Linked DNA regions of Canis lupus familiaris. The protein of the gene in region 1 interacts with the protein of each later gene in a pairwise test. Links are inferred from orthologs where the notes say so. Each region holds a gene or a part of one and is shown in the gene's direction. Other genes may lie near its edges.

Region 1 (3,511 bases):
AAAATAGTAGATTTAATATATTTCATTGTGAGAAAAGAGAGTTCATCTATTCTGCAGACAATTAAGTAATTAACTAATTTTTTCTGCAGACACTTAACTTAGAAGTGTATGGCTAACATTTCTTTTTAAACCTAAAGAAAAAGCCTAAAATAGTTGTTTATGAGGGTATGTGATATTCATTCAACAGTATCACTTTGCTTTATTATTTTGGGCCCTTTATTCCAAAGAGACTTGAGATTTAAATCTTGGTAAGCAGAACCACCTTAGGAAGGTTATCAACAGTGAATTAGATCATGTATTGTCAGATTATCACAGCTACCACTTAAATTCAAGGAGATTAGATAATATATTTGGTGAAATGCTTAGTAAAATACCAAATGAAGAATACTTAATACATAAAAGTGCTGAAGGTACTTGCTAAATTAAAAATAGAACTACCATATGATCCAGCAGTTCCACTTCTGGATATATTCTTGAAGAGACGTCTGCGCTCCCATGTGCATTGGTTTACTGCAGCATTCACAATAAACCAATTCAAAGATTTCTAAATCTTTGATTTCTAAATCAAGATTTCTAAATCGTGGCTATTGTGAATAGCCACGATTTAGAAGCAACCTAGTGTCCCATCAGTGGATGAATGGATAACAGAAATACGATACACACACATATATACACAGGAATATTATTCAACCATGAAAAAAGAGAAAATAACTGCCATTTGTGACAACATAGGTGTGCCTTGAAGGCATTATGCTAAGTGAAATAAGTCCGGGAAAGACCAGGGCTGTATGAGATCACTTATATGTGGAATCTAAACTGAACTCCTAGAAACAGAGTACAGTGGTGGTTACATGGGGTTCAGGATGGAAGAAGAGGGGAGATGTTGGTGAAAGGCTACAGACTTCTAAAGAGTAAGTTCTGGGGAATGTACAGTACGGTGATTATATTTAACAAAACTGTATTATATACGTGAAAGTGGCTAAGAGAGTAGATCTTAAATATTCTTACCACGGAAAAGAAGCGGTAATTATGTGACGTGACGAAGGTATTAGCTAAAGCTATGATGGTCATCATTTTGCAATATATAAATATATCAAATGAGCACCTTAAACTTACACAGTGTTATCTGTCAATTATATTTCAGCCAAGCTGGGAAAAAAAATACTTTACTAAATACCAAATTAAAAGAAAGAAATGGACTGAATAGCTTTTTAAGTACAGCATGGGTCAGGATTTTGGAAAACTTGAGCCGTGTATTAAACTTGGATGTCTTAGCAAGAATTGTGTAGAAAATGTAATCTCATCATCCTTCATTCAGATGCCTTGGTACATAACTCATTACTTATTTTTCTTTTCCCCATATTTTCTGCAAGGTATTTGAAGCAGTAATAGCTTGGGTAAACCATGACAAGGATGTAAGGCAAGAATTTATGGCTCGGCTGATGGAACACGTGCGGTTACCTTTGCTTCCTCGGGAATATTTAGTTCAGGTAAAAGCATATGCAAAACCTGTGAATCCCGTAGCACTTTGTCACTGGGCTGACAGCATGACAGTGGTGAGACCTACGGAATGAGATGCCCAGGGCACGGGACGGAGGACCTTAGAGGCACCTGTGGTCCTTGGCAGCTGCTCCTTCTTTGGCCACTCCTCTTTCTTAGAAATTTGCTTCCCCCTATGTTTGATGTGGGCAAGCAAATTCTAGAGCTTCTGTAGGCAGTACTTATGGTCACTTACACATAAATAAATGCACCTGTGACTCTGTGTCCCTGCTCTGCATCATCTTTGCTTTCCTGTTGATAGCGTCTTCTGATTGCCCTGCAGAAATGGAATTTTGACATTTGACCCAAATACTATTTAATTCTACTTCATAGTTTTACTGTTACATGCATTTGGTTTCTGTCTTTATTTCTAATCTGAGGGAAACCAGGTTATTTGAAGTAAGTAGAAATAAATGGATTTTAGCAGTCTGTGAACAATTTTGAATTTATTTTTTTATTATTAGCATCCTGCCAGGAACATTTCAACATTCTTATAATTGAAACTATTTAAGGAAACATTTTATTTTTAAAGATTTTATCTAAAAGAAAAAAAATAAAAAAAATAAAGATTTTATCTATTGAGAGAGGCAGAGACACAGGCAGAGGGAGAAGTAGGCTCCCTGCGGGGAGCTCAACGCAGGACTCGATCCCGGGACCCCAGCACCATGACCTGAGCCGAAGGCAGATGCTCAACCACTGAGCCACCCAGGCATCCCAAGGAAACGTTCTTTATTAAGAGATTCAATCTGAGCATTTTAGGATTTCTTGAAGCCTCATTATTTGTTGTGATCTGCATAATCATTGGCACTCCGCTGTTAAGAAAATGAACAAAAAAACCTGTCCTGCATTTGAGGTCGGGAATAGCAGGGACAAGATTTATTTGTGGTGTAGGCATGTTATAAAGTACTTTGAATCCCTCTCCTGGATATTTTATTTGCCTTTTTGCGTTTGAAAAGTGACTTTAATTTATTAGTATTGCCTATTCCACCTGAAGGACTCATTATCTAAATTTTTTTTCTTACTCTTTGGCTTGATATTTTAAGATAAGAAATAGGTGAATATACCAGAAAGAGAGAGAGAGAGAGAGAGAGAGAGAGAGAGAAATAGGTGAATATAGTATTATCTAAAGATTATTCTATTGCTGATGTTAAGGTATATAATTTTGATTGCAGCTCTTCTCTTGATTACTTACATATATTTTTCTTTGCAGACCAGATATTTGAGCTTTTTTTTTTTTTTTGGCTTCATTTATTTTTCTTTTAGTGATATTTATAAGCTTTCCTTTGTAAGGAAAACGACTGAGCCAGACCGGATGATTTTTGTTTTGTTTTTCCCCTCTTCTTTACTTCTGTTTCTTTGCCAGTTTTATCATGAAATAGTTGTCCCTGTCATGGGGTATGTCTTATTTCTCCCTGCAGAGGGTTGAAGAGGAAGCATTGGTCAAGAACAGCAGTGCTTGCAAAGATTACCTCATTGAAGCTATGAAGTATCATTTGCTGCCAACGGAGCAGCGTATATTAATGAAGAGTGTCCGGACCCGACTGAGGACACCCATGAACCTTCCCAAAGTAGGATCTATTGTTCACACTTATTATTACTTCATCTGAAAGGCCCATAGAGAGGCTGTTGATATATTTACTCATCTGAATTTCCATGTGCCTGAGAATTCATTGTAGTGTATATAATTCAACTTCTCTATTGGGCCTGTGTGTGGCAAGGGGCGGGGGGGTTGCTCGGTTCATTTAACCTTTATAAACTGCATGTTGTCACTGTTCTGGAACAGAAAGCAACTGATTTTTGTCCTTTCTGGGTCCTATTAGCTTTAGTTCTAGTAGAAAGGAAAATCTGAGTAGGTTACAGAGAAAGATTTCTCTGTAAGCTGTGTGTTTAGACAATAATTGAAAACCGAGTGTTTTCACAGAATTACCTGTTGGGCTAAGGTTGGCCAACAGCTCATTTGGCTCACTTCCGT
Region 2 (4,033 bases), on another chromosome or scaffold:
TGTACAGGACTGGGTGGGGGGAGTTCAGGGGGTTGTGGGACCCTAGAGGGGGCGCTTGACCTAGCGGGGGGAGCAGGGAAGGCATCCTGGAGGAGGTGATGGTGCGGCTAATACTAAAAGGTCTCCTCTCCCAGTAGAACAGTTGCTTTCCTGTATCACTGAGGAATAAAGTAGCCTTGACCGGTCTAACAATAACTCCCAAGCTGACCTGTGATCTAAGCCTTCCTTCTGTGTCTGATGGGCAAAGCCCAACAGTGACCCCTGTTCTGGCCAGTGTCCAGGGCTAGCTACTCCCTATAACCGGTGACATATCCCCCCCTCCCCAGGGGATTTTGTCCTAGTCAGACCTGGCTGGTGAGAAGCCTGAGCCGTCAGATCTGTGAGCCCCCTCCTCATCTGACCTATCTGACCTGTGACCCTTCCTTCTGACCCTTGGCTCTGCTCCTCCCCACGCCCCTCAGGTGCCCTAGCCTGCTCCCCTCCCCCACTCACCTGCTCCCTCCAGCCTGAGTCTCCTCCCCTCCCCCCCAAGGTTGGGAGGGTGTGAAGGGGAGAGGAAGGGAGGAAGGGGGGTGGCATTCCTGGGATTCCCTGGATGAGGGTAAGAGAGGGAGGGCTCTAGGGAGGAGAGTCTAGGAAAGAGCACCCCACCGCGCTCCCCACCCCCCACCCTCATCACAGAGTCCAAGGCTGAACTGAGGTTTGAAGACCATTAAATTTAAGAGATTGGAATGATGGGTTCCAGGCCACTGGGCAGACAGGAAAGCAGTCGAGAGCACTGGCTACAGGGGAGGGCCTCACAAGGCATACTGGGAGAAGCTGTTCCAGGCCACCGATCAAGCTGGCCACCACTGGTTGTACTGGGAGAGGACAGTGCAAGCCACTGGTCATGCCGAGAACCACCGGTTACACTGGGAGAGGCCAGTGCGTGCCCTAAGGGTCCCCGGGCAGAATGAGGGGGAGAGGGTCCAGGGCGGAGTGCTGAGGTCCCAGCTCAGGACACTGGTCAGACTGGTCGGTCAGGCCACCCCCGCGGGCACCGGGCAGCCCGCTCGGGGGCAGAGGGAGCCCCGCTCCGGGCCGTGCGCTGGGAGGTCCACTCCGGGCAGTGGGAGGTCCTGGCGGGGCGCCCGGGTTTGGGGGGAGGCGGGGGGCCGGAGGGCGGGGCGGGGCGGGGCGGGGCTGCCAGGGGCGGGGCCTGGTCGCTCCCAGCCCCGGGGCCGCCGAGCTGCAGCCCGGGCAGTCGCCGCCGCCGCCGCGAACATGGAGCCCCGGGACGGCCGGGCCCGGGCGCGCAGGGCCCCGCGGCTCCTGGTGCTCGCGCTCCTGCTGGGGGCGCACCCAGGTATGGCCCGGGCAGGGGGCAGGGCGCTGGGGGGGGCGCTGGGGACCCCGGGAAAGGAACGGGGAAGGGGCTTCCATGGACCCCAGGAGGCCAAACCCGGGGACCCCGAGGGAGAGGGAGACGGGGGCGTGGGGGACACCCCTCCCGATGCGGGGCCTGGGGACAGCCAGACAAGGGGCTGGGCATCCCACAGCGGTGGATTAGACAGCACCTGGGAATCAGCCCCCTCCGCCCTCGGCCCCCGGAATCTGGGTCCCGGGGCTCCTGCTCCCTCAGACCCGGGGGTCCAGGCCTCCAGTGGCTTCCCCCAAGACACAGGAGACGCAAACCCCCAGGTTTCCCCCCAAAGGTTCCCGAGCTCTGCAAGGGTCAGGGACCCTGTGGCTAGAACCGAGCGAGTCACATGCTTTGGAGGGTTCCCCCAACCTGGTTTCTGAGCCCAGGCTCTAAAGAACCCAGCTCCCTAGGCAGCGGCCGTGGGGAAAGTGTTTCCGAGGGCCAGTGCCAGGGCCGCCTGCCTGGGGCCCCAGACAAATCCACACACCTGTGTGGCGGCGGAGGGGAGGAGGCCCAGGGGCTGGCAACGGAGGGCAGAGATCTCTCCATCTGTCCTCCTGTCGTTGCTCAGACGAACCCCAGGCACCAGTCTGGCCCCACACCCCCTCTCCTGGGACCCGCCTGGGCCAGAGGTGGGTGCCTGGGAATCCAGGCCCCCGGCACAAGCATGGCAAATAGTGGGTCCCCAGGGGCAGGGCTGGGTCAAGCTGGGCGGGGAAGGGAAGGGAAGGGAGGTTCTAAGAAGTGAGCGCTGATGCCAGGATGCCAGCCCAGAGGGTGAGAGAGCATGGTTTCCCCTATTGGAACAGCTGTATCTGCCAGGATCCTAGGATGGGAGTCCAGGCCCCCTCAGCTCTCTTATGCCTCCGGACCCAGAATCCTGGGCCTCGCCCCTCTTCTACTCCGAGGGAATGCACCTCACCCGCTTCCTTGCTCCATCAAAGAGGCTGAGGGGCCAGGGGGCGGGTAGGGGGCTCTGGCGCCAGGCCGGGCAGGTCTGGGCCAGCCTGTCCCTCCCACATTCCTGAAACCTGCCCAGCCCTGTCCCCCCTGACCGCCCCCACACACCCATCCTACCTCAGCTGCAGGCCCAGCCCCAGCCCCCTGACTCGTGACGAGGGACCCAGGGGCTGAGAGAGATGGAGGCAGTGCCAGGCTGCTGGAGAGGCAGGGACTGTGGACCAGAGATGGAAACCCAGAGTGAGAGACACACAGGCAGAGATGGAGAGACAGCTGTCTCTGGCCCTGTGCCAGGCCCTGCGCAGGGTGCTGGAGGCCAAGGGATGAGCCAGTACTGGCACTGCCCTGGAGGGGCGGCTGGCCTGGTGGGAAGAACAAGGACAGGTGCAGTTTTACCCCCCAGGAGGATTGGACAGAGGGCCCTGTGTGGCCCAGGGGGGGGGAGGAGCCCTTAGTTCTGTGAAGAGAGAGATGGAGAGAAATGCTGATGGGTTTGTAAGCTCAGAGATGCAGACAGGAGAAATGGAGGGAGGAGGTGCTGGGGGTCTGGACCCCTGGGTCTGAGGGAGGAGGGGCTGGGGGCCCGGACTCCTGGGTCTGAGGGAGGAGGGGCTGGGGGTCTGGACCCCTGGGTCTGAGAGAGGATGGGGCTGGGGGTCTGGACCCCTGGGTCTGAGGGAGGAGGGGCTGGGGGTCTGGACCCCTGGGTCTGAGGGAGGAGGGGCTGGGGGCCCGGACTCCTGGGTCTGAGGGAGGAGGGGCTGGGGGTCTGGACCCCTGGGTCTGAGAGAGGATGGGGCTGGGGGTCTGGACCCCTGGGTCTGAGGGAGGAGGGGCTGGGGGTCTGGACCCCTGGGTGTGGGGGAGGAGGGGCTCAGAGGCAGAGAGAGCTCAATGGCTCTCCTGCAGGTGCCCAAGCTGAGGTGCGCTTGTCTGTGCCCTCCCTGGTGGAGGTGATGAAGGGGGAGCCCGTCGCCCTGAACTGCACCCCCTTGGGGACCCACGACCATTTTGTGCTGGAATGGTTCCTGGTGAGTGCCTCAGGCTGGGGGCCAGAGGATGGCCAGGGAGCTGGGAGTCAGGGTGCCGCAGGGGCTGCAAATATTCATTCCCTCATCAGCGCCCCAAAGGACCAAAGAGCTGCATCCCACTGCCTTTCCCTTGTACAGGTGGGGGAGTTGAGGCCCAGCCAGAGGGAAGGACTCTCCAAGGTCCCCGGGTATCTGAGCACAGCTGAGACTGGAAGGAGGAGGCCCCCTTCGGAGAGAGAACGTTCAGAGATAGACATAGCCAGGAGATAAGAGACCAAGGGACAGGGTGCATGAGGAGGAGAGACGGGAGCAGAGCAGGGTGGAGAATGAGGGACCCTTAGGGAGAGGAAACCCCTGCCACACAGACCAGAGGGAGGTGACAATCAGAGAGGTGGTGGTCAGGGGAGGGGCACAAAGGGACAGCGGTGGGCAGGCCAGGCAGCCCGGAGCTGAGGCCCTCCCCGCCCACAGGCAGACCGCTCTGGGGTCCGCCACCGCCTGGCCTCGGCCGAGCTGCAGGGCTCCGAGCTGCAGGGTCGGGTGCTCGACTCCCGGGGCCGCAGCCCCCCGTACCAGCTGGACTCGCGCGGCCGCCTGGTGCTGACGGAGGCGCAGGTGGGTGATGAGCAGAACTACGTGT
Region 3 (4,015 bases), about 52 Mb from region 1:
AGCCGGAGTGGTTGGCGGGTGTCGGAAGAAGAGGGCGGGGGGAGACCGTGCGCAGCGGCCTATGGCCGTGGAGTGGCGGGACCGCCGGGGGTCTCACCTGAAGCAGGGAAGGTCCTCCAACAACAGCACGCGGCAAGAGCAAGATGGCTGCCTCAGTCGAGACAGAGAAAGACGACGGCAGGAGCGACGGCGGGAGCGGGGCCCACGTGACACGCCCGGCTCCGCCTCCCTCTCTCACCGGGGCAGCCTATCTCGGGGAGCGCAGACAGGGACTACACAACCCAGGCTGCTCTGCGCCTCCCACTAGAAGCGCGGCAGGCGCAGGTGGCCGCACTGCATTCTGGAGCTTGCAGTCCCCCTTCCATTCCATTGTGTGGGTGCCTACAGATTGGTAGCGAAGTGTGCGTTTTTGTTTGGGTGTGTACTTTATCGCAGGGCTTTCACTGAGCATTAACTCCGCACTGTCGAACTCAACTAGTGCGGACTCACTAGTATGAAGACTCAACCAGTCTCCACTCAGGGAGGAGACGGGAAATTTTGACCTGTTGGTCGTGTAAAAAAAAAACAATTGAGAAGAAATAGTCAACCCACAAAGTTGAAGCACGACAAAACAATTAGGTTTGACTAGATGAAACTTTACGCTCTAAATGCCTGCAGTGACTTTTGTCCTGGTTCCATGAAGAGCTAGGTCGGTTTTGCAATAATCCGAAGTTTGGTTTTCCCGGAGCTTGCACCAGTTCGTTGCATCACCCGTGAGTGATGCGGCCGCGGGGAAAAATAAGGTCCAGCGCTGCTTCTCCAGCAGAAGAGGGCATTCTTGCAAGGCACGAGACCACGCGCTGCAGAACAGGTTTGCCAGGTCTCCTCGTGGCCCGGGCAGGAATTGAAGAATGAAATCCGGTCGTCAACGTTTTTTATTTGCGGAGCAGGAAAGGGGAGGCCAATGGGCAACGCGCCCACTGTTCGGAGCGGCTGACCCCACCGATCAGTGATCTGCGTTATGAGTGTTCAGGGCCGCGGTTCTTGGGGGCGGGGCCGCTCGCAGGCAGCCGCCCCAGCCGCGCTCCCCGCGGACCGTCCCCGCCGCCGCCCCCGCCCTCTCGCCCGGCCGCCGGAAAGCCCCCCCACCCACCCACCGAGCTGCGTGATCTGCACCTTTAAACTTACCCGTGTCACGCGGACCCCGGAGGCCCCACCCACATCCGTCAGACATCACTTCCTCAGGGTCACCGAGCTAGAAACTCTGGGGCGCGAGGGGTGCGGCTGAGCCGCGCTCGGGGAGGCGCGGGCCTTGGCGGGGACGCGCCCCCGCGCACTGTCGCCATGGAGCTGCGGCCTCACCTCGGGGCCACCTGTGCGCTGGGCTTGGGTCTCCTGCTGCTCGTCACCTCTTCTGATGGACACATCGGGCTCGGAAAGGGTCAGACCAACTTCCTGTCTTAACCTTTACTCACCCTGGGCCCGGCCCGCCCAACCCCCGACTTGTGCTCACACGGCCCTGCGCCCCTTCTGTCTCCGAGGCCACGCCGGGTTTCTTTCTTCCTCCTTAACCGCTCCTGGATTTTGAGGATTTCTCGGGGTTAGGAAGTAGCGGGTCCGGGGAAGGTTGAGATGGGGAAGTTGTGCTTGAGGCCTCCCTAAATTCTTGGGTTGGGAGTAAAGAATGGCCCTTAAATCAGGGAAAGCATGTCTAAGAGTCCAGCATCGGTGCTTAGCACTGGGAAGGAAGGTCCTTAGGAACAGTCAGTCCCCTTCCCTGCTGGGCGGCATAGGGCCTCTGGACCTGCATATGCAGAGATCCTCTCCCTGGTCTTACATCACCCTTCTCACCTCTTCTCCGAAGAGCTGGGCATTGCCCCCTCCGTGCCTTGGGGAGAATAGGACCTGCATTCCAGGAAGGCATGACTGGTATATAAAGAAAGGCCAGGAAGGATAGAGGGCCTGATGTTAGAGAGAGGATCACCAGCGAGTTGTCCTTGGTGTGCTTCAGACAATGTGTCTGAAGAAACTGAACTTTTTTGGGGACTGAGGGGACAGTGGTTATGAATGGGGGATAGGAGGTGTGACCCCCTTCTCCATCCCTTTACCTACACCTTCTTTGGAACTTGGGGTTTATGCTTTTCTAAGTGGAAGAGTGGTAGCATGGATTCCCCTTTCCTTCCATTTTTTGTACTGACCTGACTGGATAGAATGATTCTGATACAGTCCTGCTGTTTTAAATTCTGCTTTATCCTCCCTGTTTGCATATGTATTGGTAGGTGATGAGTTGGGAGGACATTCAGTGTGCCTGAATGCAGTCACTCCTTCAGTAAATAATTAATTTTTGGTCCCCTGTCATATTCCAGGCCCTGCCCTAGGCACTAGGGATAAAACAGTGGACAGGACAGATAAGGTTCCTGCTCTCACAGAGTTTGTATTCAAGTCAGAGATACATGGACACATGAACAAGAACAAATTAGGAAGCAAGAAAATTTCAGCTAGAGAAGTGCTATGAAGGAAAGGAAACTGATGGAGTGGAATAGCTAGGGAGAATGAGGGACCTAGCATTACATGAGCCAGGAAGGTCAAAGAAGGTGGTATGTGGGTTTCCATCTCAGTGATGAAACTGCACAGTGGATTCTACTGGGCCAGAATGTTTTCAATACTGACAATCCCAGTTTGAAACAGATTACTGTATACTTAGCACAAAATTGTAAGTACCACGGGAGACAGAATATGGTGTTAGGAGTGTGGGTATAGATCTGAGTTTGACTTTATTCTGCTGTTGACCAGCTGAGAGACTTAGGACAAGTTGCTAAACCTCCCAAAGCTCAGTTCCTCATCTGCAAAATGGGCATAATAATAAGTACCTTGGACACTCAACAAAAAATGTATTGTGTTCCAGTTACTGTTAGGTGTAGGCAGTACCTTGGAGTCACCTATTTAGTATCTTTATTCCTTGTTAGACGTAAACTATGTGTGGTTGTTTCAGTTGCCATTGCTGCATAATAAACCACCCCCCAATTTAGTGATGTAAAGAAGTCATTTTATTATGCTCAGGATTCTGAGGGTCAGGAATTCAAACAAGGCACAGTGGGGAAGGTAGATCCCTTGGTTCCATGTCTGGGGCCTCAGCTGAGCAAGTGGCTTCTCCATGTGGTTTTTTTTTTTTCATGGGCAAGGTGTGGGCTTCCTCACAGCATGACAACTGGATTCTAAGAGTGCCTGCTCCAAGAGAACAAGGTGGAAGTGCATTGCATTTTTATCTAGCCTTACAAACCATAGCATGACTTCCACTGCAAGGACATGTTCAAGGGGAAGGACCCCCATGGAAGCAACGTTGAGGGTCACTTTGTAAGCAAGCCCCAGTACGCCAAGACCATTTCTGTCTCATTTATGCTCAGGAATATTTGTTGGAAGAAGAAATGAATGAGACACCTGATCATTGAGATCCCTGTCTTTTCAGCTTCTAGTCTGAAGACTGTCAAGACAAGTAGGCAAGCAGTTGCAGACACTAGCATCTTTACTGTGGGCAGGAGGTTCTAGGAGAGCCATCCTGAGGAAGGAGGTCTGTGTTGTGAGGATTCAGTGGAAAAATGAAAGGCACTTAATATTGTGTTGGAAACTTAGAAAGCTAAATTTAGTTAATATTTATTATTATGTCCTCCCAAGGAGGAATATTTAATTGTTCCTGAAAGGAATTAATAATGTTTCAAACTTTTGTTTTTTGTGTCTCTTGGGTATGGATTCTTGGGAAATAGAGCCCATGTACCCAAAATGTGCTACCTGAAGCAGTGGTTCCTGAAAATTCTGATGAGTTAAGATTTCTTCCCAGATGTTTCCAGGAGATGGTCTGTTGGTTTATATGGAGGAGAGACCGAATGACCGTACTGTTTTCATTAAGAACAGGAAGTATGGTGGTGTGTTGTGAGCACTGGATGAATCAGGAGGCTGGGATTTAATGCTAGTCAGACCATGTAGCCAGCTCTGGTCTTCCCTGGGGACTCCTTATTGAATGAGAGTGTTGAACTAGAGA

What was found.
Region 2: the proteins of KLHL2 (region 1) and BCAM interact in binary tests that used the Homo sapiens proteins (3 or more experiments, as listed by UniProt). The two-hybrid records come from large-scale screens. The link is inferred for Canis lupus familiaris from reciprocal best matches to the Homo sapiens genes KLHL2 and BCAM.
Region 3: the proteins of KLHL2 (region 1) and TXNDC12 interact in binary tests that used the Homo sapiens proteins (3 or more experiments, as listed by UniProt). The two-hybrid records come from large-scale screens. The link is inferred for Canis lupus familiaris from reciprocal best matches to the Homo sapiens genes KLHL2 and TXNDC12.

The regions. Positions count from the first base shown.
Region 1 is NC_049236.1:61,749,382-61,752,892, forward strand, and holds part of KLHL2 (kelch-like protein 2), read left to right. Parts: intron 1-1,149; exon of another isoform or gene 1,150-1,373; coding exon 1,374-1,490; exon of another isoform or gene 1,491-1,816; intron 1,817-1,968; exon of another isoform or gene 1,969-2,951; intron 2,952-2,957; coding exon 2,958-3,107; intron 3,108-3,511. UniProt on the Homo sapiens protein: Substrate-specific adapter of a BCR (BTB-CUL3-RBX1) E3 ubiquitin ligase complex that mediates the ubiquitination of target proteins, such as NPTXR, WNK1, WNK3 and WNK4, leading most often to their proteasomal degradation.
Region 2 is NC_049222.1:111,291,562-111,295,594, reverse strand, and holds the start of BCAM (basal cell adhesion molecule), read left to right. Parts: upstream 1-1,224; 5' UTR 1,225-1,263; coding exon 1,264-1,345; intron 1,346-3,271; coding exon 3,272-3,393; intron 3,394-3,864; coding exon 3,865-4,033. UniProt on the Homo sapiens protein: Transmembrane glycoprotein that functions as both a receptor and an adhesion molecule playing a crucial role in cell adhesion, motility, migration and invasion.
Region 3 is NC_049236.1:9,303,110-9,307,124, forward strand, and holds the start of TXNDC12 (thioredoxin domain-containing protein 12), read left to right. Parts: upstream 1-1,206; 5' UTR 1,207-1,323; coding exon 1,324-1,420; intron 1,421-2,757; exon of another isoform or gene 2,758-3,204; intron 3,205-4,015. UniProt on the Homo sapiens protein: Protein-disulfide reductase of the endoplasmic reticulum that promotes disulfide bond formation in client proteins through its thiol-disulfide oxidase activity.